3 linked regions of the Drosophila melanogaster genome follow. The protein of the gene in region 1 interacts with the protein of each later gene in a pairwise test. Each region holds a gene or a part of one and is shown in the gene's direction. Other genes may lie near its edges.

Region 1 (9,985 bases):
TACATCAATCATGGCATACGAATTGGACATCATGGCGATGAGCAGATTCAGCAGCACAATCACGTTAATGACGCTGTACGAGCCGAACATGAGCAGTCCCCAGAATCGCGTATACGACTTGATGCCACTGAGCTCGAAGTCGTCCAGTCCGACCATCCCAAAGCTGGCCCAAAAGAGCGACTGCGAGGACTCGAAAAGGCTGCGGGAACGGATATGGGGACATTGAATGAGTGGGCACCAACTGACCGGCGGCTAATTGGCCTGCTGACTGGACTTACTTGCCAAACCGGCGCCATTTCATGCAGGAGTCTCCGTGTGAGCCCCAATCCGCCTCGCCACCCGGCAGGACATAGCACTTGCTCTTCTCCAGGGCGGCAAAGTACCAGAGCAGTTGGTTCAGTCCACAGGCGAAGGCGAACAGCACCAGGGTGTAGATAAAGAAAAATTTTACTATATCGATGACCATGCGACCTAGGGAGATCTGCAGCGGACCCAGGTGCGGATTGATGCTGAACAGGTGCACCAGCTTCAAGGCCGAGAAGACATTGGCCGCCGCAAAGAGACCTTCGGCTATTAGTTGCGGGTCAAAATCGTGCCATTTCTCGCGTGGTATGTAAGCCATCTGCGGATCCCTTGCTATTTCTGTGGCCTGCTGGATGTAGGCAAAGGCTCTGGAGGAGAGTAGTAAAGGCATTATAAAGTAGATTTCACAAAAGCACATTTTAAGCTCACCTTAAACACATCACACTCACGTAGAGACTGTTGCGCAGAAAGTCGATGAAGTTCCACATGTTGCGCAAATAACTCTTCATGCCCACGGCAAATATCTCCTGCACCTCCTCCCACACGAACCCAATCACGTACATCACCACGATGAGCTCCAGCTTGCTGGGTGTCTGGCCTCGCTGACGCAGCTCCTGCTCCGCCAGCTCCTTCTTCATCCTGGTCGTCCCGAAGATGCGTACAAAGTCATCGTCCGCTCGCTGAGACACCAGAATCAAGATGACTGCAAGGCAAACAACAATGAGTCCCCAACTCGGTGTGTTATCATAAGGGGAGCTGAAGGAGAAGGAGCTCTTAATCGGAGGGAGACGCCTCCTCAAAGTAAAGTTATTTCTTATACCCTGCAGTTTTTCACATCACATTTGATTAATGACAAAGATTTGTAATGATATACATTTAAAGATAAAGGGTACTTAATATATTTGATTACATTTGAACTGTTGAAACATAGTAGAAAACATGTTTCTATTCTAATTGCCTATTAAGCTTAGTACCTTAATTACTTTTTTAATAAAGTTCATTAATAAATAATATTAGTTATTAAAATAGAAAAAGTTTGATACTGAATGCTTCAATCCCACTGAGGGTACCTGTCCATTGTGGGCTTCTCCTCCAATGGAGCTCATGCTCATGTTTGCTTTGTGCACCGACCGCACTCGACATACTCACACAGGAAGAACAAATAGGAGGAGGCATGGATCAGGAATTTCATAAAGGGCTTGCGCATCAACTGGCCCGTCCGGCAATTCGGGGCGCACATGTAGATGAGGCAGTAGAGCGGGAAGAGCACGGCCACCTGGGCGATGCAGATGACTTTGTCCACAATGCTCTTGCGCCGGAATCCGGGGAGGCCGTCATACCAAATCGAGGACAGTAATTGCTGAATATTCGAGTGCGCAACGAACTATCGCAGGAAATGGAGAATTTTAGCAGCAGAACCACGTCGGAGAAACATACCTTTTTTTGCTTGTAGGAAATTGCCTGCACCAGGCGGGTCAGGCTCATCCGGTCGCCGGGCTCATAGCTCGACATCTGCGGATCGTAGTTCAGGATGATGGCCAGCTCGTTGGAGGTGCGCGTCTGATCCAGCAGATCCACGGCGAACTTCTGGCACTGCCTTCGCAGGTCCATGTACTCTGACTTGCACTCCTGCTCGGTGAGGGCCAGGTTCCTCAGTTCCCAGGACAACTGGAAGGCCGTGATGATGGGGTCGTTGGAGGTTAGGCAGATCAGCGATGGACTGCACAGAGCCCGGTAGATGTTCACCCGGGAGAGGGAGTGCCTCAGAGAGTCCTCCGCGGTCAGGCGGACGCACTCCTCACAACCGCAACTATATTTAATAATGTGATTAATAATGGGATATGGGACCCATGTTAGATGTACCAGCTCACCGTATATCATGTGGCACTGGCACCGCTGCTCCGCGATCCAACAGAATGCGAAGTATCTCAAAGTTGTTCTTGTGGGCGGCCAGCATCAGAGGCGTGATATCCGGCGCAAACATAGCCGTGTTTATGTCTACTTTTTGCCAACTCTGTGGAAAGAAAAAATATATTCACTTCAATATATATAATAATTCAATGCTAAAAAAGTATTGCCTACAATATCCAGTAAGCAACTTGATATCAGATGTGCGTTGCACGCAACATTTTATAAAAAATATTACTTTCAATGAAGTCAAATAATCATGAAAGATTTTATTCAGTAAGCAACTTGATATTACTTGTTCGTTACACGTAACATTTAATTAATAAGTAAGCATACAATTAGTGAAATAATCGGGAATTACTTTAATCAGCACGAAAATCGATTTTAGACCTTTCTACACGTTACATTTTTAAAAAAAAAATTTACATTTATTGTAAAGCACATAAAGTTATTGTAGAAATCGGAATTCCACTTAATACACTTGTCTACTGCCTCACATGACTGAACTACATTTTGTCAATCTCGGTGGCTGTTCCTCCAAAATATCCTAAACTTATTCCAGGAACTGCTCAATGGCCCACTCGAAGAGGGCCGTCTTCATCGTTTTGTGGATGTTATTAAGCCTGTTAAACGTTTTATTGCATATGCGATACAATAGTAATTTTCACGCTCCAACAGCGCCCAATGGCTGCCTAATGAAGCGTGCCTGTGTGCATAAATATGAGGCCGACGGAGCCCAGACGACTTTATTTGCAATAAGCGTAAACCGTATCCTGTCCTCTGTTCTCCGTATGCCGGAGAGGTCCTCAATGTACTGGATTTTGAGGGGATGTGGACGGATGTGGGCGAATGTGGGCGAATGTGGATGGATGTGGTTGGATGTGGGGGTTCTTGGTCGTTGGCCGCTTATCGCACACTCCCAATCACTCGAGAGTCGAGATCCTGCGAGTACGTGCCCAATGGCGAAGATGATCCCGATGGGTGGGCCACTCCGGCCACTCCAAGCATACCATCCATCCAAACGCCCCACGCTCCTCGCACGGAAACTGATTAAAATCGTGTTAGCTTCAACTTACAGGGCCTCAACGCCTACGGACGATAATGTGGGCTACAAATTAGCTGAGCACAGCAGACAAAACAAAGGATACACTGCGAAAAAAAGTTCCAAACGTAGATAAAGGACCTAAACCCCCATTGTGAATAATGTGTATCTCAGTGAATTAAAACTATCAAATTATAAATATAATATCTTTAAGTAAATGGTAAACTGTTATCTAATTTTTACCCTATATCTGAACTGTTGCTCAAAATAAAATATTTGTTTGAAGAAAAAACAGCAACGGCTATAAACAAATAACACCACTGCCAAATTATTGTAGAATGATCTTAATAAAAGTATCTTTAGCTACTAAAACTCTTGCTTCGTTCTTTGTTCTTTTGTACTGCTTTAATTAAATGGTATAGTAGCATTCGATTTCTCCAGGTGTCTGTGTAATGACTTACGTAGGGCTCGCCCTCCTTGTAGATAAGCTCCTCGTGCTCGAGCAGGAGCTCCACAGCCTCGACAAACTCCGCATTGATGGCGTGCAGTAGGGCGTCCTTGGTCTCCACCCCCATGACGACGAGCAGCTCTACCATCTCCAGGTTCTCGTTGTCTATCGCTAGGGTGAGGGCCCGACGGCCCAATGGGTCCATGCAGTTGATGTTGATGTGCTGATGGCGCAGCGCCTTCTGCAGGATCCTGCAATTATTTGAATTTACTTAATAAAGAGGGTGGCATTGCTGCTAATTGGGGCTAGGCGCCCACCGAAGGGTCCACAATAACTTTTCTTTTCTTCTCCTGTGCACAGATTTCCGATGCCCCAAGAATTCCCGATGTCAAGTCAAAAGTTGGAGTCCAAGTTTCTAATTACATCGCGGCCGCAGCCTTCAAACAAACTTTCCCAATCAATTGGGCGCCGAAAAAGGGACTAATATCAAATTTTTATTTATTTATTTTTTTTTTTTTGTGTTTTACGTTACCGCGTCATTCTTAAATGTCGTGAAATTATTTGGCCACCCTCGTGTACGTGGAAATTGCCAAGGACTTAAGATTGTAAAGATTTATAGGTTTATTTTAATTTGATGTCTTAGTAAGCGTTTATATTTTTGGTTTTTCCAGGGCTGAAATTGTTGTATTTGAAACAGCTGAATAAGATGTGGGATACGTTATCAACGTTAAGTTGGTCATTTTATTTAAAGTATAATTGTCAAATGCGTTTTTGCTAAGAAGTCTTGTAATTATTTTGATTTCTGTAGACTTATTGACATTAGACATTTGGGATTTTTAAACCATAGTTTTTTTAATGTGCCTGAGAAAAGTGTGCAGTATCGCCGCTGTTTGTTTGCAGAAAATTCTGTTTATTTCTTTTCCCTGTCTTTTTAAGTGAATTTCAGTCGTGGCATCTTTAATGCTTCAACTTACTACGGTGAAAATTCCTTTGGTCGATGCATTTTTAGCGGCCAGGTCCACGAGATTACATGAAATGTGGTGGTCCAATCCAATTTTTATTAGCCTTTCTGTTATCTTAAACAGAACGCTTATGAGACATATACATAGGTAAAAAGCTTGAAACCACTGAAGGGTATGCTTTTTTTGGGTATCGGGACAGCTTTGATCTCTGGTTTGAGCTGATAACCATATTCTGTTAAGCAGATTAAATAGATCCGCTTTTATATTGTTTTATATTGTCATTGCGCGAGTCTGGCTTTCTGTTTGCTAGATAGATTAGAAAGTCCATTCATTCAAATGGATTTCGAGTATGTAGAAACAATACAGTTATTGGGTCGGGTGATATTGCTTTAGTGGATTGAGTGTTTTTCAACATTTTTAGGAATTCATCTTCTTCTGGAGCCCATGCGTTGCAAGTTCGTTTAATCTGTTTGTATTTTTTTTTTTTAATTTTTGATGCTGTCTTAGATTTAAAGGCTTTTGGAAATTTCTTCTACAAAGGTCTGGAAAATTGATATTTTTTTGTTTCTTATGAAATTTTGAAGAGTCTTTTCAGCTGCTAAGGTCTTACGTGCATCTTCATACCTTTTGGTACAATCAAATTTCTGCCTCGCTGCGTTTCGAAGTCGGAGTAATTTTTCTTCTTCTGAGCACCATCACTTTTTTGGTTCGTATTTGTTTGGTCCTGCGATTTTAATTGTGTTTGCACCGGTTATGTAGTCCAATGATTGTTTAATGGAGTCTAAGCTTGAAAAATGTACACTTTCAAAGGCAGAAGATTTTTTTTTTTATGTTGTGAAATTTGTATTTATCTTATTAATAATAACTTCAATCGAGAAGTGATTGCTGTTAAAAATTTTGGACTTGGAGGAGCTCCACGAAATATATCAAATTTTCCAACACTGCAGTGTACATTGCCTGGCAATTAATCGAAATCTAGTTATCCTGGCGTTGATGTGTCAAAACTAGTTTTCACCTGCCAGTGTTTAAGGCCAAAAATCTTTGATTTTACGAACGTTCGTCAACATAAATTGTTGTACTAAATTCAAAGAAACTAAATCCGCTTCCAAGACGCGATTACAGTGATTGCACACTACACCCAATATTAGGCGATTAAATTATTTGTACGCTCCAACGATTAAAAAACTCAATACCCAATGGATGCCGCCGAGGGTCAAAGCTTGGTGATCAAAATGGCGCAAAAGAACAAGGGTGAGCCAATAGCCAAGTGTGTTCTCGGAAGATTCGTGTAGGAAAAGTATGTTCGTTAAATCTTGTAGAGACCCAGACTGTGAAGCTGGTGCCCGGAGGCGGTCTGGTCAACAACTGGTTTGCCCCGGCTACGTATGGGCCAGCAGGGATTCCATTTGGGGCTAGTCCCATGATCCCACCGCCGCCCGTTCCGAATCACAGCGTATCGTGCCAGTTTTACATGGACCGGGAGGAGCAGCTGTACCGCCGCGCCTGCCAGATGAAGGGCATCCGGGTGGAGCGGGTCTCTGAGATCCGCGAGGAGGAGGACGACTCGAACGGCTCCGAGGAGGAGCCTTCGAAGGGCATCCGCTACCGCTACACCCTGGACGAGATGAAAAGCTTCAACCCATACCGTTTTATCAACTTTTAAATGTTCCCAAAACGTCCCAAATAGCCGTCATAGACGTCATAGCCGTCACACTTTCACTTTTACCCACATCGCACCGTCAGCACCTCAATATTCAAGTTGATTTAAGATCCATAACTAGGTCTAGCTTCGCCACCCTACCCACATAAGATGTCAGCTTATAGGTTTATCTTGCATGCCTAAAAATCGCAAGGAGCATCACACGAAGAACAGGAACCCAGGACACTGCCCATTTGCTTGTTGTTGCCGTATTTCCATGTAGACTCAAGATCCAAGACTAGCACTAACTTCGCCACTACTTCCACAATTTCACATTAGATGCAAGATTATATGGACATCGTGCATGCCTCCAAAGCGTATTGGGAATCACAAATGAAACAGGAACCCCGGACACGGCTCATTTGCTTGTTGTTACCGTATCACTCGCCCGATGAAAACAATAAAGAATTGTTCATAAATGACATCCTGGGATGTCAACAAAAAGTAAGGTTTAGTTGTGCTTTCAGGTAAGGGAACTTAAGTTATCCGAAAAGTTGCTTTTCAATAAGATTCGTTTCTCGAATTGATTGTGCATGTTAACAGCTTTAAGTGGCAACCGAAAAGTATTTGGATAATTTGGCTTATCTCTTATTCATTGCCAGCAAACGGAATTAATCGTACATTTGTTAAAGCAAAGCCGTAAACGAGCGTAAAGTATCCGGGTCGAAGGCCTCATATTGCTTATTAAGTGGCTGCCGGGATGCCAGTTAGGTAACCATTTTGAGGCCCGCGGCAGACGAGTGTGCAAATAATTGAACCCACCACCAGCACCGCATCCAAAGAACCCAAGGAGGCTCCCGATGGGATTTATGGTACCTGTGCGACCCAGCCCAGTCAACACCTGTGTTACCCTGGGCGAAGCCACCATTGGAGCTCGTGATACCCCTCTAAAAATGTCAGGGTTTTTATTCGAACACCCTACACTCGGATAAATGTGGTAGTGTGTTTAACTATTTCTTTTAAATTGAAGGCTAAATATATCAATATACATTAGGTTCTACTCGATTGATACATTCATTAGCTAAGCTTGTACATTAACTTTGAATACTAATGCTCATCCAACACCTGATTGTGGTAAGAGTTTCTTGCAGTGTATCCCTCCCGCCCAAGATGCCATACAGAAACACCACCCACCCCCCCCCCCTCCCTGCTGGGCATCGGAGGCGTGAAAAGCGCTACTCACCTGCGCACATTCGGCATATCGCCGCGCTCGACAGCCAGCAGGAACTTCTTCTCCTCGAGCAGCAGAGGCTGTGGTAATCCCAGCGGCACACAGCACCCGCCCACCGATTTGGGGGCGGAGGAGGCGTGGCTGACGCCAGACGATACCTGGCATAATTTAAAGAGACAGGTGAGCAGGAGCCACATACGTACATGCCGATGTGGCGAGGGGGAAATCGTGTATGCGGAATTGCAAATAAATAAAAAATAAACATACAAGAAAATTAAGTGCAAAGTGGAGGATGCTGGGCTGATTGTCTGGCTTCCATCTAAATGGCATTGGAGGCGTTTAAGGTAAGCGGCGTTTAGCTAATACTGGCGGCTTTAAGACATGCTACTTGCTGGATACGGATCTGGATCGGGATCCTGGATGGGTTTCTACTTACGCCCGTCGGCAGCTTCTTTTTGCGACCCATTCTAGAGTTAGTGCACTTCACTTAACCGAACGCCAGCAGTTCGTAACTAGTATTCCATGTACCAAGTCCAGGGTTCAGAGTTCAAAATCCGACTTCATGTCGCAGGGCTTTGCACACTTGCAGTGAAAAGTGAACGATATTTACATATATGGCATATATATTTATATACACAATGGCAAAGCCAAAAAAGTCCAATACTAAGCCGGGCCACATGCAACTTTCAAGTTGATTTTGCTTTTGTACTCATAGTTGTATAGTCCATAGTTATATGTCCAACTGGGTGTGCTTGTGTGTGTTGGTGTGTGTGTGTGTGTGTCTGGTGGTTTTTGACTTGGTTTATGGTTTCTGGTTTCCGGCGTGCAAAAAGTTTCTATTTAAGCTGTTTATAATGTTTTTCTTTTTATTTCCGCCACTGACCGAGCTGGCTAAACCCTTTTTAAGTGCCATCTGCATGGGCAAGATTTAAGTTTTGCCAATTTAGTGAGTTGATTAGACACTGTGCAGTTTCACTGTTTCCCGACTGTTACTGGTCAATTCCAAAGGCCACACTGAACACCAAATTCGCGAGCACTTATTGCACCACTTATGACCAATTGTTCAATCGGCTTTCTGTTTTGATTTACATTTTTATTGCACTCATCTCATTAGCAACGAACTGCAGTTTGTATTAGTTGTTGCTGCTCTCATTGGATTGTTCACATCATCGCCAATCGTTTCTCCCATTAGAATTAATTTCTTTGTTTCCCAATATTTTCCCACACCCGATGAAAATATTTTTATTTTCCGCTGCCTTCCTCCGCATGTGTGAACACAATGCCAAAATGAATATTTAAGGAGCTTTTTTCGATAATCCGCAAAGAAAAAATGCATTCCGTCTACATGCTTTTGCTTTAAACTGGCTTTATGCTCCTGCGGATGCGGATCTGCATGCGGATATGGATGCGGATGCTGCAGATGCATTTAAAAGTGTTTGGGCTGGTCATAAAAAATGCAAGTGCTTTGTATGCGCGGCAGGCAAAAACTCGGAACCATCATCATGGCGGTTGTTCCATAAAAAACACTTCCGGTACCAACAAAAGGTGGTTCTGACTACCCCAGGAGCCCCGATGGTGCATTGTTTAATTAACTTAATAGAAATATAAGTGCGGAGGACGGGCGAAAATGCGGACGGACATAAAAATGTCGCAATAAATTCGGTTTTATCCGCCACTTCATGGGAAGCGTTTATAAATGGATTTATAGCTGTTCACCTGCACAGCAGGTGCATACTGCGACTGCCCATCGAAATGGGATTATATCTGCACCTGTATATATTATAACAAGTATAAACTATTCGGTTAACATACGATGTAAAATGCATATGATATTTCACTCTAATTTCTCCCTCTGCAGCCGAGATGTGTTAATTCTGCCTGGCACCGATCGAAGTATCATAATTTTGTCGCAAGCGCACTGGAGTTCATTAAAACTAGAACAAATTTTGAGTATTTTACAGAGTTCATAAAAACGAAGGGCTTATCGCGATGGCAGCCAGTTGAATCGAAACTCCAGCAGTCACAGACCACAAGCTCCGCACACACAGCCCCAACTTGACAATCAACGGAAGAGGTAGGAGCAACCTGCAGCTGCCAGGAGCAACCAGGAGCAGTCAGGAGCAACCAGGAGCACAATGAATGAAGGATATAGCCACGTAATTCAGTTGGCTCACGGACTGCACTTAAGCCACTTATAACCAAGCGTACGGATACGTACTTCTTGCATTCCGGCACATAAAAACGTGTGCAATTGTTCGACTCGCTGGCACAATGGACGTTGGAATTTCATGTGACCGGCTTAGGTGAGAGGACTGCGACTATGAATTGTATGCTGGCATATACTTTATAACAATACGTTTGGCCACCGAACTCCCGAATTCCCGTACAATGTGTGTTGTAGTTTATGTATATCTGAATTTCAGCTCTTTTGAAGGCGAAAACCCGCCGAGAG
Region 2 (9,151 bases), on another chromosome or scaffold:
GTCAAACGGGTTATGCGCTTGACCAGCTAACTCGCTATATTCACAGCCTTAATAAATGTGGAAAATGTTAAGTATACCAGAAATTTAAAGCCATGCAGTGTGTGGAGTAACGTACAAAATAAATACAAAGGAGGCGAGTATTGTGCAAATAATTTTCTCTAATTAATTGTACAAGTTTGGATGGTCTGGCTAGTGTTAAAGCTGCTCACCTGAGCCTTTCCGCTTTTGGTGGGTTTTTATAAGCGCGGGATTTCGCATTAAAAGCAAAACAGCTAGCCACTGGATGGTTGTCCAACACTTTGACAACATTTTTCAAATTGCAATTTTCGTTTTTGCCCGGCTAATTTAACGCGCATTTTTCTGGCATTTTTCTTTAACTTATCCATATATGTATTTATTTGTGACAACATTTGCAGGATGCCAACATCTTGGCCGCACCCAGCCACCACATCCAGAGCCACATTTATGACTTGCCACAGCAAATGCAGCCACATCAGCATCACCACCATCACCACCACCAGCAGCAGCAACAACAACCACAACAACAACAACAACAGCAGCAGCAGCAGCAGCAGCAACAACAACATCAACTAAATGTCGAGGCTGTCATATTGCAGAATCAGGTGGATACATTGCATTGGCAATTGAAACAGGTGAGTGAATGAGCCAGCGAAAGGCACAGCAAGAAATCCGCAACGAAACAAAAGACTCAAGACACAAACGTGACTTGTGATTTCTGTTCTCGACTGAAGGAAACTGTGTTAAGTGCCAAGTCAACCAAACAACCCCACAACAAACCCCATCTCGATGTCGATCTGCTTTGGCTGAAAACTTCTGTTGCCCTCCTTGGATCAACCTGTTTTCCTGTCTCTGGCATTTTTTATTCAAATAGTTCTCACGCTTAATTTACTCAAATCGGAATGGAAATGGAAATGTGCGAGATGTGGGGAACGATTCAGTCATCAGACATACTCGCTTGTTAGGTTCGGTTCTTTTACACTGTAATTTTAGTTAAATTTATTTTTAAATTCGGCATAGTTAGATTGTATTGAATCCATTTATTGCAAGAATTTAGAATTTTCTTAAAAGAATATTTTTTTAATAACTGCTATAGCTTTTTATAACAAACAATTTTTTTTTATATTCTTCATATTTTTACACTATTTTACCTGTGTAGCAATCGAGGCATTTCCTTTCTTCATAGTTCCTCCCCGGTGAGGGCAAAATGTCTGCTCCATCGCAATTAGGCGGCAGAATTCTTCTTGGACGCTTAATTATAGACTCCACACTGCGAGTCGGACGGACTTTTCTATACATTGTTTTGTTCTGGTCTTTGGTCATCGTGTGTCTTTCATTGTCTTTCGACCATTTCCTTTGGCCAACAGCTGCATTAATTTTATACTTCCTCACAAAAGGTTGCTAATGGAGCTGACGGGTTTCTGCCTTTTGAAAACCTTACTGTTAAAGTGAGAAGCGCCAGATTGAGTCTAACAATTCTGATTGGTATCTATATGGTGTGTAATAATATGTTGGCCATCAATGAAGTGACTTGGGCATTCTGAAAATTCTTAAACAGGAATCCTAGGGGTACTCACACACAATTAATTGATTAAATCAGCGGTAAAGAATTTACAAATTATAGACATGTTTTTAAGCTTGGGTAACAAGAAGTGCAAAAAGGTAGAAGAATTCGTGGGAATCTCACAGTAAATGAATTTGACTAAAATGTTTCGATCTATCTTACTTATGACAGAATATAAAACATAAATCTAACATTACAAATACATCTGAGATACATACAACACCATGACTAGTTTTTCCCAACTATCTGAGATTTTTCCCAATCGAAAACTAGACCAGTGCACTAAGCCGGCTTTGCTCCCAATTGACCGAAACAAACTTTGAACTCGAAATCGACGAAATGACCTTCAACGTTCACATTGGATACGCTGAGATCTGGAGTCCAACCTGATCAGTTTCTCCCCTTTCGAACACTTTCAATTCGAGGCTATTCTATGCAACGCATAATCACCCAACGGATGCCGCTGAAAGAGCGAAAATATTTACGCTTTCATTTCGATTTAATGCGCTTTTAAATGAGCCCCAATGAAGTTGACTTGGAAAGCCGGCGGTCTTCGCCTTGGAAAATTGCAAAAAAGAAAACAAAGCAGTGACCAGAAAAAAAAAACATGAAAATAATAAGAAAAGATAAATATTTTCTGTAGCTTGGTCCGTTTCTTGTTTGGCGAACGGAAAACTGGGTTAGAAGGCAGGAAAACCGCGATGGAAAAACATTTTGGCCATTATAAATGAAAAGAAAAACCATGCAGGCGTGGGTGGAACCCTGGCGAGATTGATTGATTGATTGATTGAGTAGACGATGCAGTCGATGGGAGGGAACCGCATTTAATTTATGCACCGGTAAGATCCCAGACTAAACCGACCGGTGTAGCCAGGAAATGCGTTCAATGGGAAGCTGCTGGCAGGCCAAGCGAGTCCGAATCGGAATCGGAAAAATTCGTACCCGAATCCTCTCAGCTCCAATTGCTCGACGATGGCTAAAAACACTTTGGGCATTAATGAAATTAAACAAAGCATAACAAAATCGAAATCAAATACAGCAGCAGCAGCAGCAGCAGTGCGCGCCGGCAACAATTTCCACATCATTTTCAAATAAATCTCAGACACACGAAAACAATTCGTAATTCGAATGAAAACCTCTGGCGAACACGCAGTAGGAAAACCTCCGAAAACGGAAAAACGTCCAATGAAAAATTAGCAACAATTTCCAAGCGTTGCAATAGCAATAGCAACGACTGCATCGCCAACTTACATAATCAGCCAGACACCAACTATTTTGGCATCGTGTGAAGCCTCCCCAAAAAACCAGCAGATATACACACATATATATGTACATATAAACTGCATGCCCACCCGTTTTGGCCAAATTTCAAATGGCCCGGGAGGTGGGCGTGTGCCTGCCTGCCAGGTGATGGCAATCGGCAATCTTAACGCCTTTTTGAGGTCTCTGCCAATTTGGCAAGCGCCATAGACTCGAATGGCATTTGATAATTAGACAATTTGGCCCACAGAAGTTAACCAAAAGCGACATTCCCCCCCAATCAACTTGGCCAATGATGCTGATATGGCCCAAAGACCCACAGCACAATGAAGTAGAGAAATGCGCGCAGAGTAAAGGGGCGCGATAAAAAATCAAGTGAAAGTTTTTATAGGCTGATGATGATGCTGATGCCGATGCTGCTGCTCTACAAATGTTTGCTGCCAAGCAAAATCATTTACAATTAACATAAATAATAAATTAAAGTCATCGGTTCAAATGCATTATCAATGTGTCAAAGCAATGACCTGGCACATTGGAGCAAAGCTGTAAGTTTTGGAGGGGAAATACAAGCTGAGTTAGCCGGAGAAAGGTCGATTGAATGAGATTTACATGAAGAGCTGAAAGCTCACCTAAAATATGGGCCACACGTTTCTAAAGTTACATTCCCAAAGAAAGATACAATATCTATCTAATCTATCTTCATTATGCGTAAAAACTACCACTTATCAATCCCTAAGTATTCTAAATCACTTTATAATCCTAAATTTCAGACCGAAACCAATTGCGAGATGTACCGAGCGGTGATGGAGGAGGTGGCCCGCTTCTTTGAGCGCTACCAGTTGCAGCAACAACTCCAGCAGACCCAACGCAATGGAGAGCAGATTGCCCGCTCCAAGAGTCTGCATCATGTCCACGGAGTGGGCAACACCTCCCTGCAGAGCGATGCTCGGGATGATGACGCCTCCAGCGGCGGATCAGCTTCATATCTACGCGCCCGGAGCAGCACCAATTTGATGTTGAATAAATCAATGCATGCCATGGACGAGGAGCACAATTACGAGACGATTGCACCAGCTGGAAGCTATAATGCCTTCAAGGATTTTACATGGTAAGGGGAGATCAATAGCAGTGCTAATAATTTTCAAACAATTAATAACGAAATGTCTTCTCTCTGCCAAAGGCGTCGATCCCCGAAGAAGTCTGGAGGCAGTGGCGGTTGCAAGTCACGTCTATCGGCTCCTGAGGCAGCCGAGGAAAAGCTGAATCAGGAGGCCTTTCGTTTGGCCAGAACCATAAGGAATCTTTTGCACACCTCGGAACAGCAACCAGATCTCACGCAGCCGCGCCACTCGCTCGCTTCCATTTCATCGCTGCCCTCGGGAAATCACCGCCTATGCAAGGGGAAAACCAGTTCGGTGATGACACTACTGACGCCACCATTGCACAATTCCACCAGTATCATGAGTGCCACACTGGAGACTCCATCACCGGGCGGGAAATCAAATGCGGAACTCATCTTTCTGCGGGCCAACAACATGCGCGACTCGAGGCTATCGTTGCGCAGCTCCACCGACAGTTCCGTGCATTCCACCATCTCGTCGACGGCATCCTCCTCCTCGAAAGTGGAAACGGATGAGGAGACGCAGACACAGACCACCGCCAGCAACACAGCCATCAGCAATAGCAATAACAAAACCACCAGCAATAAGCAGAGCGGTTCCAGTACCGAGGATGAGAGTGGCTTCAGTTCGATTAGCTCCTTTCACGATGTCGGCTTGCCCCTGAGTTCCACCTTGATGAATGGAAACCAGCGACGCCTGTCCATGTCCTCGGACAGCAGGAACTCCACACTAAAGTCCGGATTAAATATGGTGGGGCTGCCCATGCAAAATCAGACTCAAGTTCAAGTACAGGTTCAAGCTCAGATATCAACCGCTCCATCGCCCTCGAAAACCTATCGCAATGCGAATCGCTACCAGCGCTTCTCCACTTTGTCCAACGAGGATGCAGCCGCTGTTTTATGGGTCTAGACGGGTGGATGATTCAAAACCAGCCTTGAGATAATTTATTAACGTATTTCTAAAAGAATTGAGAATCTTTTCAAATATGGTTACGAAAACCGTGTTTTTTTTTATTTTGAACACCCCGTAGCTGTTTCGATTTGTTTTCTCTAGTGCCTCCGCTTAGTGTTTAATTGACCATTGGAATAGAGTGCATACATTTTCATTTTGTATGTTATTATTTTTTTTTTTAAGGACCAAGCGCGCATTTCTATGTTAACAATATGTAAATTGATTTGTCTTAAGTTTTGCAGTATTTATAAATGAATAAAAATAATTTATATTAAAAGAAAAAACCAGCATAGTATGCTTACACCCAGGTGTCATTGTCATTTCATTTCCTTCTTTTCGACAGGTTTCGTTTAGGTCTAGAAAAATGTGCTAAAGTATTTTTGGTTATTAGTAAGCAATTCCCACTCGAATCGCGACAAAATTCGTTGAGAACACAGCCGTCAGCAAATAAATTAAGGTTACCTGTTCGTATCGAAAAAAAAAAAACAAGTCAACCAACAACATGGCCAGTGCACAAGTGCAAAGTTTTGATATTATGAAGCAGCAGGATCAGCAACATCAGCTGAATAGTATCCATAAGCATCATCATCACCACGAAGGTGTTCCACTGGAGAGCAATAGCCCAGAACCTATCGATGAAGAGATATACCAAGTCGAGTACAAGCATCCTTTGGAGCATGTGTGGACTTTGTGGTATTTGGAAAACGATCGCACCAAGCACTGGAAGGACATGCTAAACGAGATTACCGAGATTGACAGTGTGGAGACCTTCTGGAGCTTGTACCATACCATCAAGACCCCAGCGGAGCTGAAGATTGGATGCGATTACTCCGTGTTCAAGAAGGGCATAAAGTACGAATAAATCATTGTTCATTGAGAGATGCTAACTTAAATCCTCTACTCCCAAAGACCCATGTGGGAGGATGAAGCCAACATCAAGGGTGGTCGCTGGCTGGTCACCGTGAGTAAGAGTGCCAAAGCGGAATTGGATCAAATTTGGCTGGACATTCTACTGCTGATGGTGGGCCAAAATTTTGAATACTCCGACGAGATCTGCGGAGCTGTCATCAATATACGTAACAAGAGCAACAAAATCTGTAAGTTTATCAAATGTGTTCTGCACATTGATAAAAAACTGTATCTATTACAGCGGTTTGGACTGCCAACGGGAGTAACGAAATGGCCATTCTGGAGATCGGCCAGAAGCTGAAGATACTCCTTCATTTGCAATCGCATAGTTTGCAGTATCAACTTCATTCCGATGCAATGTCCAAATTCAATTCGGGCGTCAAATCGGTTTATACACTCTGAAAGCGATTGTTTAGGTCCTCTACGTTAGTATATTTTTATTTTTGTACACCAGATTCGTAAGTGTGGAAGATATGATTGGCTTGGTGTATATGAATATTTACTTGGAATTGCCCCTACAAAATTGTTCTATAGACTAAATTAAAAACCTAATTTTCTATGCGCAACAATTGCATCTTTTCGGGTGAGATTGTGGTAACTGTCGAAGTTTGTGTAATTCGTTGCCTACTTTGCAGCTTCAAAGCTAAGAATAAAAAATGCTTTGATTTAAAAATGTTTTCCTTTAATCATTGTTCATATATTAACTTAAACATCTTCATGCTTTGAACGCCTTACGACTTAGGGTCGTAATTGCCTACTCAAGCAAAATCGTTGAGTTATAATCAATATGGTAAGATAGGGTTTTTAAAAAATTTACTCAGTAAACATTCACAGCTTGTTGCGGTGTGGCGATCATCCGACCGAAAACCATCCGAATCGATCGTTCGGTGCGTGCGTGAATTCGATCCCTAGTCACTGCAATGAGTAGTTGATTACATTTAGCGACGCGACACAATTATACGGGCACGGGAGTACACATATGGAGAACTATTTACAAGTTAATCATGATCAATCGACAGCTCGGGCAAACGCTTCAACATTTGCGAGCCTTCCTATCGACAGGTGCAACTTAACAATACATTTTACAATCTAAACAATATTGGACGCTCGATAATTTGTTTCTGGTTGTGTTGTGAGATTACGAATTCGAAGCTTGTATATGCACTCGGACATGGGCGACCAATGCTCAAGGAATAGCACTGCAAGCGAGTCTCTCCAAAAAGAGACTTCCAAAATGGAATACACAATTTGACTGTGGAGTCATCATCATCATCAGCTCTAAATGCGGCCCACAACGGCCTTGTTTTTCCGCGTGGGTTGCACCGAAAGTGGCGGTACCACTAGCATCTCGGATTGTGTTGACGGCGAACTGCTTCGCATGCTTGCACAGTCCTCATCATCAACCTCCTATAAAAATATAATTATACATCAGTTTTTGTTCACATCGATGCTGTAGTTGTACACACATTTATATTCGTGCAGCTGGCCAAACGCATCTGGGCCAATTGAGAGGCAGGTGTTAGAGAGTTGGTGCTGCCAAACGGCGAAGTCATCATCGTGGATACGGCCCGTTTCAGTTTGTTGGGCGTTTTGTTAAAGGAGAAAGCACGACCCACCTAAAAGAACGAAAATTAGTATTAGAAAAGTTTTAAGCTGAAAAAGTTTTGAGGACCCACCTTGAGTCGCGTTTTGGCCGCCAGTTTAAAGGCTTTGCTGAGCGTGCTGACATTCACATCACTTATGTCCACCTCCAGTTCCTGGGAGGTGCGACAAATCAAAAGTTTGTCCTGCAAAACAAGAATAAGAACATGAATTTCAGAACATAAAACTATCTATGTATGCTACCACTTACCGCATCAGTACGGCAGGTGTGGGCTGCAATCTGGTTGCACAATTTCTTTACGTAGACCGACTTATCTGTCTCCTCATCACTGATCGTAAACGTATAGAGCTTCTCCTTATCGCCCCGCAAGAGCAAACCAAAAGCTCTTGGACTATCCGAGATGTCAATCACTAACCGGATCGTATTCAAAGATATCAGCTTGAGATGCTTATGCGTCTTGGCCGTGCTTGGCGATTTTGCAGTGTTGAATCCTTTAGAACGCCGCTTGCATAGCTCAATGGAATCGGAGAACAGGTACAGGACCAGGCTATCACCACGACCGCTCAGCGAATCGGAGAGCTCGTTCACCTCACACTTCAAAATAAAGCTGCGGTTGGAACTCACTAAATGCGCCGGACATCCTTCGATATCGTTGAATATATCGAAGATGGCCATGCGCGATTCGGTCCGCCTTTTATCCTCGTTGATGTGCAGTGTCACCTGCTTGATGGCCTTCAGAGCCTCCTCCAAACGTCCGTGGTCCGCATTGCCACTTGTCGTATGTTTCAATATATCATTTAGCAGCAGACTGATACTGGGCAATCGCTGAACTGGACGGATCATCAGATCTTGTAGACCTTGGCGTCCGCACTCCGGTTTCGTTTGATTAATCTTCAGAAAGGCGTGGAAACGCGGATATTCCCGATCGCAGTACTGCAGTTGCTCCTTCATCTGCTCGAAGAAGTTGACGTATGGTGGATACGCCTTTATCAGCTCGTCGCGATGTTGAATGATAATGTCTCCAATAAGACAATCCTCCCGCCAGTTAGCATGCAATTTCCGCAGATGCTCCAGCATGCTTTGGTGTACCTCGTGGATAGGCAGGAAGTTGCCAAAGATCGTCTTGATCTCCGACTTATTAAGCAGCGGATCATTGGTTTCAGCCAACTCTTCCAACTTGTTTTTAAAAAGCTGTAGACGAGTAGTAAAAAATAAATGAAAATAAAAACATCATTAAGAAAATATTCAACCTACATTCAGTATGGTGTCCAATATGCCCACGTAGTTGGACTCTGTGGTATAAAAGTCCATAAAGTGATTAAAGCGCATCGATTTCTTGGCTGGAGTGGCATCGCTCGCCTCCGGCTCGGCATGCAACAGCTTGTCCGACTCCAGTTTATCCGGACTGGTGGTACAATCGAATAAACTATTTGAGACAGACAATAGACCGGCATCCGAAACGGAGGAGCGTCGTTTACCAGAACCCAACGGAGTACCCTCCAGCTGGATGCGTTGCGAAAAACGCTTGCGTTTCCTTTTGTTAAAGCTAATGGGCAATGAATCCCGACGATCTGTGTTCGGTGTATTCGTGATGCTATCCAAATACTAAAGTAAGATCAAAAGTAATTCAATGTTAGTTTCAGCTGGTAAACAATTTAATAGTGATCTACTTACGTCGCCAAACAGATAGTCCATCTCATTGGCATAGCCATTCTGTATGGTATA
Region 3 (11,711 bases), on another chromosome or scaffold:
GCACTCTGTGGGTGCGGGCATTTTAATTCAATGCCCAAGTAAATCAGCTTAAAGTGCATGAATAGTCTTTTCATGGACGATTTCATCAATTATTCAAAGCTGGACCACCCTAAGTAAAAGTAAATTATTGCCTGGCGGCAGCAGGGCGACTAGTTAAAATAGCTCCTGCAAAAACAAGGTCCATAGCCATTTTTCGTAAACTTTATTATGCAAAATTTAATTTTAATACACAAATAGGGCAAATGACGGTGCAGCCGGTGGAGTTGTGTTGTTAAGGCCAGGTCAACTGCATTGCGATGGAATTTTCGTTTGGCAGTACCTTTCAGACCGAATGATTGATTGATTGACTGACGCACGTACTTCACTGTTGCTCCTGGATGTGGATGGACGAATGCCAGCAGGATTATTTCTTCCTTGGCCCTGTTAAATTGCCTTATTATTTCCATCTACGGTTTTCAATTAGTGCAGTTAGATTGAGCTGTGCTCTTGTTTTCCCAGAGCCTAATGCCATGCCCACATACATGTGGAGAAGTCAATGTTGGCATTCTAAGTAATTGAGATTTGTGTATAGTAACGCAAATCACAAGGGATTTCTCGTTTGACATAGAACTTCTAACAGAAGAAATGAATGGAAATTTGTAGCATATTTGGGCAAATAGTTATTAATTTTAGGAGGACACGAACGGATAAGCAAACTAATCATTAGATATGCAGAGTCGTCTACACTTACCACACCGAGCGCCTTTGATGTTGTAGAAACAGGACGAATTTAAGAGTATTTGACATCCAAAACTTGTCTACTTACGATAACCCTTTGGAAGCTTTCCCTACGTGAAATAATTCAGCTCATTAGTAGGGCGTCCTCATCATCTTCCCAGCCGACTTCGCTCTTCTGAGTGCCTTGTTTTTAGTCAGCCACAGCATTTCAGATGCTGGGGGTGGGATTCCAGTTCGGGCGGGGCTAATTCGGGCCATAAATTTGCTGCTGTTGCTGGTTGCTGTTTGTTGGTAGCTGGTTGCATGTTGCTGCGGCTGCTGCTCCCAGGCTAACTAAGCCTCGCCTCCGCCTCGCTGATATAATGTGACACCAGCTGCTTAATGTTTTGGTTAAAAGCATTCTAAGTGAAATGCAACAGGGCGGAGACACGAGCGTGGAGTTGTTGCAGTCGACTTTCACTGCCCGCCAGCTGTAGACAAAAGAAGGTGCTTTTAGAGGTCTGGGCATGCTGGGGGCAAAGTGGGGGCGTGCCCTGCTCAGGCTGGCAATTTGCTTGAGCAAAAAGTTGCTACATTTGAGCTAAGGAACACACCTTCTAGCGCCGACAGTGGGTCGTATTCTGCTTAATACTGGAATCAAAATAGGTTTGATTTTCAATAGAAATTAAATAAATAAATACACTTGGCCTTTTGAGAAGCGCAGAGAACGGCGCTTAAAGGTAATTCAACTTCTAATGTGGTCCAATGCTTTAACTTTGAGAAGCGCAGTGAATGACGCTTAGAGGTAACTAAATCTTTAAAGCGTTGCGATGAGCATACAGTTGGATTTTTGAGAAGCGCAGAGAACGGCGCTTAAAGGTAATTCAACTTCTAATGTGGTCTAATGCTTGGACTTTGAGAAGCGCAGTGAATGGCGCTTAAAAGTAATTAAATCTTTAAAGAGTTACAATGTGCATACACTTGGATTTTTGAGAAGCGCAGAGAACGGCGCTTAAAGGTAATTCAACTTCTAATGTGGTCCAATGCTTGGACTTTGAGAAGCGCAGTGAATGGCGCTTAAAAGTAACTAAATTTTTAAAGCGTTGCGATGTGCATACAGTTGGATTTTTGAGAAGCGCAGAGAACGGCGCTTAGAGGTAATTCAACTTCTAATGTGGTCCAATGCTTGGACTTTGAGAAGCGCAGTGAATGGCGCTTAAAAGTAATTAAATCTTTAAAGAGTTACAATGTGCATACACTTGGATTTTTGAGAAGCGCAGAGAACGGCGCTTAAAGGTAATTCAACTTCTAATGTGGTCCAATGCTTGGACTTTGAGAAGCACAGTGAATGGCGCTTAAAAGTAATTAAATCTTTAAAGAGTTACAATGTGCATACACTTGGATTTTTGAGAAGCGCAGAGAACGGCGCTTAAAGGTAATTCAACTTCTAATGTGGTCCAATGCTTGGACTTTGAGAAGCGCAGTGAATGGCGCTTAAAGGTAACTAAATTTTTAAAGCGTTGCGATGTGCATACAGTTGGATTTTTGAGAAGCGCAGAGAACGGCGCTTAAAGGTAATTCAACTATTAATGTGGTCCAATGCTTGGACTTTGAGAAGCCCAGTGAATGGCGCTTAAAAGTAATTAAATCTTTAAAGAGTTACAATGTGCATACACTTGGATTTTTGAGAAGCGCAGAGAACGGCGCTTAAAAGTCATTAAATTACTGATGCGGTGCAATGCTTGTATATGAGGCACGCGAGAACGGCGCTTAGAGGTAAGCAAATTTTTAAAGCGTTGCGATGTGCATACAGTTGGATTTTTGAGAAGCGCAGAGAACGGCGCATTAAAGTAAATAGCTTCAATTTTAACATTTAAGTTCAGTTCACTGGGCTTACTTCGAACAAAAATGACTTAAACCAAGTAAAACAGTTGATCCACACAATATTAATCCACGGCGATGGCATCTTTTGACACTGTTGAGAACCTTGTGAAAGAAACTGCTACTGCTGCTTCTGCCTGCGGCTGTTGTGGCAACATCATCATCATTCATTTGCGCCCAGGTGCGTTTTCGTGTGCACTCAGTATTTTGCCGCTTACTTGTACTCGTATTTGGGTTTTGGCATGGGACTGGGCTGGGGTTCCCGGTGTCTATTGCACACCTTGTGCCAACTTTCTGCGGATCCTTGCAACGAAGCCACACGTGAGTCGCCCTATTCTTGTTTGTTATTCTTAAAACTTGCGCCTGATTCCGCTTGGCTGGTTTTGGTGTCTGCTTGAGTTTTAGTTGCTGTCTGCATTTCGTTTTTGGTTTCCGGTCCTGTCGCCTGTTTTTGGACGCATTTCCTGGTCGATGTGTTGCTCTACCTATTAAACTTGGGTATACGTAGAAATAGTGAATTTCTACTTGTAATTTTTTCAGCTTAGGTTGAATGTGTCCCTTAGCTCAATAATTAGCAAACTTCTTTAGTGTTTTTGTTTATCTGAACACAGAACACAGTTTGGGGCTTTAGTGTTTTTCCAGTACGACTTTACAAGTTTCCATCGATAAGGTCACAGCTCCAAGTCGACGGATAAAGAAAACATTTCGCCACCAGTTTTGAACAGATGTCGAGGCCGCGGTGACTCTGGCTTTTGACGGTATGTTCCGAATCATTCAAAATTCGATATGTCGGCTAGCTACACACGCCTGTTCCGCGTTTTGTTCGTGATAATTTTCATCAAGTTACTCCTCCTTTTGGGACTCCTTTTGGACAGCTACGATGGTGCTGCCCGGCTTCAGAGGCGGTCGAATGTGGATATATTTGATGAACTACTCGTAGATCGGAGGCAAAGTAAGAAAAACTTCCAATTAGGAAAAGCTTTCGCTGGGGTCAGAGTGTATTAAAAGTGTGTCAATATCAGAATGTACATTTAAGGAGCCCACCTACCATTTTAGTGCCTTCTTGGGAGCAGCGATTGGAATGGATCCGCGAGGAAATGCATTCGTTTCCGCTGAAAGAGCTCCTGGCCAGAAAAAACAGACGATTGCCTTCAGTGAAGTGCGGCCCCGATATGATGAACATTGATTTTCATTGATAGCCCTCTGCCAGGCTATTGATGGCAATAGTCCCATCCACAGATCCCAAGTTCGTGGTATGTGTGAAGGCGAGGGATTTTCCAAAAACTGAGGCTTATTATATGCACCGCAAGTGCAAGTGCGTGTAACGCTGTATGCATGTATTTATGGCTTTTAAGCTGTGCCAAAGTTATTTAAATTACTGATATCTGGCTTCTTTGTGGGTTTATCATGTGATTATTTGGGCAAGCAATAAAAGAAAATGCTGTATTTTGGCACAATATTCTTCATGATTCCGTCTATGAGTTGCCTACAACAGCTGTTAAGTTTCCACGGTTGTCTGTTAAGTTGCCTGTCCCTCTGTTGCTCGATCGAGCAGGTCCTGGGAAATCCTTGTCGTTTGCTTCAGTCGGCCACGAACTGTTGGTCGGGTTGGAGGTGGACTCACCGACGCCACAACCGCCCTCTGATTGCCTTTTTGATGCATTGGGATGTTTGTATTTGATGTGTTGCTTTTTTGCGTAATGCAACTGCTAACGACTCTTTAAATATTTTACACGATTTAGCATTTCATAATGATAATACCCGCAATCCGCTTGCGGGGGGCATGCGTTTATGGTTCAATTTCAGTTTATGCATTCTCATAATGCTTGATGATTTCAGAATGCCGTGTTTGCATTTCAACTCCAAATGACTTTTTCAGAGCGATTCATTCGCTGGCAAAATGCAAAAATGCACATAGAATTTAATTTAATTTGCGCACACTCATGCACCATTTATCCACTTCTAATTAATTGCATTGCACAAGAACACAAAACGCAAAACATTTGAATGCGAATGTCTGAACGGACATGAACAAATATACAAATGTGAACAAAAACACGCTCAGAGCTAACTGAACTGAACTGAACAGGGCAAAAAGCGACACAAGATGAAAATATTCATTATTATTTGGCCAAATTGCGAATTAATGATATGAGCAAACAGGCAGGCCATAGTGTTGTTGGCATGCAAATTATGGCAGCGCGCAAAAACAAAAGCAATGCAATTTTTTAATTAAATGCTTTAGCTGTAATCCAGGAGCGCTTAGTGGAGTTCGGATTAGGCCATATACTCGCGAATCCGATCCCAGTGATGGGAAAAAATGCAGAATAGTACCGAAGTGGGACCGGACTTTTGTTACCAAAAGTCATTTTTCAGAGCAAAGTAAGTCTAGAAATATAAATCAGTTTTGGACGACACTTCGTTGTGAGAACAACCGGGTTTTAGTCAAATTTTATTTACAAAACCATTGCGATTTATTTGTTGATATATTTTGATTGACCTAAGCGGTATTCGGATATTCGCAGTGCGTTAGGTAAGTTGTGTAGACCCAATTCGTAGTGATTAATTATGGCATTAGAACTGTTCGTTGGGTTTCTCCTCCTTCGTCATCTTCGTTTACAAATAAGGTAGTGTGTTCCTTGTCGTATGTAGTATGTCTTGTCTGTCGGTCAGCTTAGATTTCATTGGCTGCCGCCGATTACTGGGAATCCCCGAAAGTATGCAAAAAGTTGGGCTAGAGCAATTGAGCGGATTGACGGTAGTGGGGATGGAGCTACCCCTGCTTAACCCCATCACCCGTCTAGTGCAACCGGCATACAAGAATACGAGGAACAAAGTTCAAACTAGCCAAACAAAACAAAACAGAACAGAGCTGAACTAAACTAAACAAAACAAAACAAAACAGAGCTAAACAAAACACACACAACGCAACAGGGAGCTGCTCATGTTTTTTGTTAATTAAAATTGGCATAGCAGCCGAGGGGAAAGGCAAGGACTGGGAACAACATTTTTGCATTTTCATCAGTTTTTCGAGGCAGCTAGCAGTCAGCAGCCGGCATTTGAACATTTCAACATTTCGGCATTTCAGCCAGCGACGATGGCTCACAGGTCATAGGTCACAGAAGGCGAGCACAGATGCCAATGTAGAGTAGTCCACCTTCCTTCAACTTCCTTCCCACTTCCAACGTTCAACTGAATGAGTGCCACTTCCTCGCTGTGTGCATATTTACCTTTAGAACATTTACTTTTTCAACAGACGACAACCGACCCGTTGAGGGCGAGTCCTCGATTTATGTGCTGCCAATAAATTTGCCCAACACTTTGGCCCCGTCTAATGCAATATTTACATCGCATCGGGCCAAATAAAAAATTGCATCGATAGGAACTGAGAAGGGCGAAACTGCTTTGCGGGAACTGAGAGAAATCCAAGGTGCCTTCTATTGTGGCTTTCGACTACTCCCATAAGTAAATTATTCATTGAAATGAATCTAGATCGCCAAAGTACAGTGACATAAAGATTCAAAAGCAGTTCATTACATGCTATAATCTAAACTACTGTCGCGATAAAATTTAGTTGATCTCTGTAATACTTTCGCTAAGTGCACCCGCACGTCTTGTAGTTTCTGTTTCTGTTTTGGCCCTGCTTTTCATTTTGATGTCATTTAAGTTAAAAGAGGAACATTTGGAAATGTCGGGTATGAGATCCCTAAACGGCTTTTAAGAAGGAAAACCTCCTGCAATGTGTTGCCTTTGTTGTTTCCCTAATTTGTATGGCAGAAGTGAAAGGAGATTCCCATATCTGTACAGTTCTTAGCCCATGCCAAGTGATACAAATGTACATATGAAGTCCATGGTTAAGGCACAGATATTCCATTAAAACAAAATCGGGTCAAATAAAATGGCCATAAACTGCTTGCCAAAAGCGTGAAAGCACAACACTCGCTCAAAGTCCAAGTCCGCTCAAACATTTGCCACGCCTTGGATTCTGTTTCTGATTCCAATTTCTGATTGATTTTTTCTCACTCATAAATTCGAGTCCTTTTGACCCCATTTTAACTTATGGCAGCCAGAGTCAAATCAAAGTTTGTTCTCCTGGTGGTTTACTTTTGTGATGCCATTACATAAAGATTCCTTCGTCCGCTGCATATCGTAAATGTAGAGAATTTTTAATGATTTTAAAAGATGCGTAAATACCAAGGCATCGTAATCTTTTCTATCGGAGATTTTGGCGTGTGAAAAACGCTTTTACTCGGTTATTTCCAAGGGGCAAGCACAACTTGACCCAGCTAATAAGAAATGCGTGCTGTGTTACCTTACACCCGTGTGTTTGGGGTTTTGCACCCACTCAAATCATTCAGTTCGGGGGGTGTGTAAATATTTGTTGCTAAAGTTGCCAACTTCTGCACACGTCCCTTGGTCTTGGTCAGTTTTTCCTTTCGTGCTTCCAAAGAAGAAATTTCCAGCTCACGTCTTAGAGAAAAGGGGCATGTTGGCTTGTTTGCCTCATTAGTCGGAAGTTCAGAAAGAGCGTTTGGCTTGGCTTTGTGGATTCATCATATATATAATTGTATAGGAAGCTACGAAAATGAAAGATCCCAAAAATCGCCATTATATTAACCCTTTTTTTTGTTAGATTTGTTTGTTTAAACATAGCGCTAACCTCGCCATTTCCGTATAACTCTACAGCCGTTGCTGACCTCGAACAAAGCCGCCATGCTTCCCAACAGCTTTTACAGGATGAGGGACTTTGCCAATCCGAGAACAATGTTTAAAAGCTGTGCGAACAACAATGAATATCCCACACAAGGTCCCCAAAAAGTGGAGTCACCAACTGATGTTACCCAGCCTGCTGCAGCTCCTCAATCCACTGAAGATACTCAACCAGAAAAGACCCAAGAACCGATGAATGATCCAAACAAAACGTCGCCATCAGAGCCCCAAAAACGTGGCAAGGGGAACCGGAAGGGCAAGAAGAATCAAAAGAATGCGCCACGCACTCCCAGTCAGACGAGCAAGAGCAGTCGAAGCAACAATCCGGGCAAAGATGGAAAGTCGACGGGAAATGATGACAATGAGAAGGGTAAAGGCCAAGGAAAACAGATGGTCCAGCAGAAAGAAAATAGCCCTGAACAGGAGCAGTCGACTAGTGCACAATATAGGAAGAATGTGCTCGACAAGGATCTGCAGGACAAGAAGCTAATCGAAAAGAATATGCAGGGAAAGATAATCACACAAGAAAATCTTTTAGGGCAGAAGGTCCTAATGCGGTTATCCGAGCAGAAGCTTTTGAGCTTGAGGCTCGAGCCCAGGATTAAACAGAACACATGTCCACCGGCCAAAAAAGAAGATGCGGTGGTCGCTTTTGACAATTCACTAGAATTTCTGTCACTGAACAATAAATGTGATGATGATCTGACCATCGCGGCGGAGAACGCCGAACTTTTGGAGGTCGAGGATCCTCAACATCCACTCAACAACTGCTGGACTCTGTGGTATCTAGAGAACGATCGAAATAAAAGTTGGGAAGAAATGCTGCACAAGGTTACAAGCTTCGATACCGTGGAGAAGTTTTGGAGCCTGATCACTCACATCAAGCCCCCATCCGAGCTTATGCTGGGCAGTGACTACTCCCTGTTCAAGAAGGGCATTCGACCCATGTGGGAGGATGAGGCCAATGTCAATGGAGGACGCTGGGTCATCAACTTGACCAAGAGCGCCAAGATGGCTCTGGACAGTTTCTGGATGGACGCCATGCTCTGTCTGATTGGAGAGGCCTGTAAGCACTCGGACGATCTTTGTGGCGTTGTGGTCAATATTCGCGGAAAGTCGAACAAGATCTCTATTTGGAACGCTGACGGGGGAAATCAGACTACAGTCCTTGAAATTGGACGCATTTTACGCAAGGTTCTACGCATGGACAACATATACGTGCTGGAGTATCAGTTGCACAAGGACTCCAAGGATAAACTGGGATCAACTGTGAAGAGAATATACACTGTATAGGTTCTCATCAGACAATTGCGAATCGAAACATTTTCAGTATTTTCGGTATTTTTTCACAAGAACTTGAAATGTCAAGCAGGTGTGATCAGCCATCGATCGATAGTTAGTTGGGTTCCAAATCTCTAGTCAAACCATCCGTACACGTACACGTTGTACATAAAAATTTGAATGTTGCTCCTATAGAGCGACGAAATAAATACATAACTATTTGGTCAAGAAGTTGTTTGTTTTAAAGTGTGAAATTGGAGAGTGTTGGAGAGAGACTGCGAAATGTTTCTAACTATGCACCTTCTTTACTAATTTAACCCGATTCCAAGAACATGCAACATGGTTTGTCTCGATTCCTGAGTTCCAATCGGTGTATTGGATGTTCTTTGTCTGCTCCACTGCTAACCATTGGGGCGGGCATTCAGAAGTTGGTTGCTAGCTTTTTGTTCGCTTTCACATCGGTCAGCGGACATGGGACATTTGGACATTGGACATTGGCCGTTGGACTTATTTGGCGCACGGCGTCACACAACTTGGCCGTGCTCAATTGTTTGATTTATTGGCATTTATTGGCAGTTGGCATTTTATTGTGACTGCTTTGGGTGACCACGTAAGGGGAGCCAATGATGTTGGAGTGGAGGCAGGTGCGTTCTCCTGGCACTGAATTCCTTTTGTTGCTGTTCTTGGCCACTTTTCCATTTGACGGGCTTTAATGTGCTTAATGTATTTTCTGTGCCTTGCTGTGACCATTTTCCTACCTTCTAATTTCTTCCTGAGCTTTTTTTAGCCACTCTTGCGAGGATTTACTATTTACCAAATATTCTGGTGACTCCACGAAAAAGGTCAAGGCCCAGGTGATTTGGCCCAAGTGCGCACCATAAAAGCGAGCTCACCTATATTTCGCCATTGATTTATGGCACTTAATTTCATTCCATTGTGCCAACGAGCCAGAGCCATTGATTAAACACCTTAACGATTTTCTATGGCCACCAACCGTTGTAGTTGGGCACCCACTTATTAGAGATGGAAAACCGAGGAAAGCGAAAGCGAGAAGCCATTGTATCGATTTGGTTTGCGATCCCAAACGGTGGGGGATGGTGGGTAAGGGGGCTTACGGACTAGTCCGATGTTTAACAATGGTATTGGCAATAAACCGAAACGGAAAATCTGTAACATATATGTATGCTGAACAGGAGCCGAAACCAAGCCGCCCACTTCACCCAGAACAATTGCCAAAAAGTCCTTTCTCTTCTGTCCTATAAATAAAAAAATTTGAAGTGTCTGGCACTCGCACACCGACTTGGGATTGCTCTAAAATTTAAGTATTCTATGTATTCTCGCGCAAAACTAGAACCAAAATCGGCTTCACTGGTAGCATGTATCTCAAATATCAGTAGTCAAATGAGAGCTTTGCCTATACTAGTTGAATTTCGAACGTTGCGCTCACCTATGTGCAGCGGACGAGTTCCTCCTCCAATCGGCCCCAAAAATAAGATAGAAACGAAAATGTTCCTTTAGGCTGCCAACTACCCCAAACTATGGGGCTCAAAAAAGGCCGCCCCACAGGTGGCATTTGTGTTGTAAAACGTCGATTTACATGCGTGTGCTGTATGCACAGGGGAAAATATGTACATACATATATGCATATACGCACATGTACACACAGGTAAGTGGAAGTGGAAGAAGAGGCACACCAAGGCACTGGCGAATTTCAATTTATTTACTTTTATTTGCGTATGCAAAATAGTCGGCTGCGGCTTGATTTTGGTTATCACACGCATTGGCGAAGGGGAATTTAGGAGATACAAAGGGGGATTGCTAAGAGGTTTTTTTGTTTCCAGCGCTTAAACTAACGCTCTTTAGGTTAAGCTGTTAAAGCAAATCGGTTTCTTTTTTTTGCAAAAACAAATGGGGCGTAGTTAAGTTATTAAATAACTTATAACTGATTTCCCAAGCGAAACCATTGAAATAGCCCAATCGATTTTGCCAGCTGAACTAATCACTCAGCTTAAAGAGCCCGTATCCTAAGCACAGAGATATAGCAAAAAAAAGAAAACCACTCATTGTGGCAAGGACTCACATCAGCTATGGACAAATGGGTGCCTCAATTCTGACACTTGGCCCAATAAACAATCCATAATCTATAAAGGCACTCCGCCCACGTCCCCCCTTTCCACCCTGCCCCCTACCCAAGACAGGACAGAACATTTATGTTCCGGATCCGGACGAGAGACGAACATGTCATATGGAAATACTCGAACGAGGCCCCAGGACAAGTACACAGAAAGAAAAGCAACTTGACTTTAGCTAGGTGTATGAATAATGCATATTAATCCATCAATGACGATTCTATAGATACAATATTTAATGTCAACATTTTAATGACTACACATATGTAGTTCAAAGTTCAATGAGAGCCCACCAAAAATGTGGCCTCACACTCTCTTGTCAGTGTATTAGTGTAGTGGGGTCACATGGCCGCCCGAAATTGTGCTAATTATACGGCCATAGCTAATTCAGGGCCGTAGTGCGGGGTCTTGGGGTCTTGGTTACTGGGCACCGGCCAGTTGGGCCAGTTCTGAATAAGTCATGTGGCCGGTGTGATTACCTTTGGTCGGTCGGTCGGTCGGCCAGTCGGGGGGTTCAATGTCCATTTGCACGATATGTCAATCAGCCATTGGCCCCGCTTATATGGGCATGACATATACTGGGCAAACAACAAGAGGTGGGAGGACATGTGATTCCCGAATTGTTGCAACCATTTGTAGCAGCATTCATTAAATGCGTCCACGCACGAGGCGTAGGGTGCCATTCCATATGTAAATGTGGCTTCCAATAATCCAGTTCATATTGCACTGGGCTCAAGGCACATCATTAGTGTTGTCGCGTCAATCTCCGCAGGCCGGAATCCAGCAAACGCGTCTTTCACGGACCAGCACGCACTGCACTGGATCAGTGAGAATCACCCCGCGTTCCATTAAAAAGTGACTTGTTTAGGGTTTTAATCTCAGTAGTAATTAAGCCGCATTGAAAGTGTGCAATAGATCGTTGGAAACAGAAGTATATAATAGCTGTATTTGTTCATTGGCTACTCGCATATGAAAATAGTCACAGACTTCCGAAATGCAAATATTGGATGCATG

The links.
Region 2: the proteins of CG1690 (region 1) and eIF4E5 interact in a two-hybrid assay, tested with the Drosophila melanogaster proteins (one large-scale study listed by BioGRID).
Region 3: the proteins of CG1690 (region 1) and eIF4E7 interact in a two-hybrid assay, tested with the Drosophila melanogaster proteins (one large-scale study listed by BioGRID).

The regions. Positions count from the first base shown.
Region 1 is NT_033778.4:9,753,744-9,763,728, reverse strand, and holds CG1690 (uncharacterized protein), read left to right. Parts: upstream 1-5,660; 5' UTR 5,661-5,859; coding exon 5,860-5,914; intron 5,915-5,982; coding exon 5,983-6,326; 3' UTR 6,327-7,436; downstream 7,437-9,985. Other genes in the region: trpl (transient receptor potential-like), read right to left, coding at 4-199, 279-671, 733-1,006, 1,453-1,687, 1,741-2,113, 2,175-2,317, 3,715-3,952, 7,546-7,691 and 1 more.
Region 2 is NT_037436.4:7,889,623-7,898,773, forward strand, and holds eIF4E5 (eukaryotic translation initiation factor 4E5), read left to right. Parts: upstream 1-5,257; 5' UTR 5,258-5,416; coding exon 5,417-5,766; intron 5,767-5,823; coding exon 5,824-6,011; intron 6,012-6,064; coding exon 6,065-6,225; 3' UTR 6,226-6,387; downstream 6,388-9,151. Other genes in the region: CG32365 (uncharacterized protein), read left to right, coding at 417-653, 3,613-3,950, 4,023-4,872; pbl (pebble), read right to left, coding at 7,102-7,230, 7,290-7,439, 7,500-7,610, 7,676-8,617, 8,681-9,031, 9,101-9,151.
Region 3 is NC_004354.4:1,155,685-1,167,395, reverse strand, and holds eIF4E7 (eukaryotic translation initiation factor 4E7), read left to right. Parts: upstream 1-5,006; 5' UTR 5,007-5,110; intron 5,111-7,263; 5' UTR 7,264-7,290; coding exon 7,291-8,580; 3' UTR 8,581-8,797; downstream 8,798-11,711.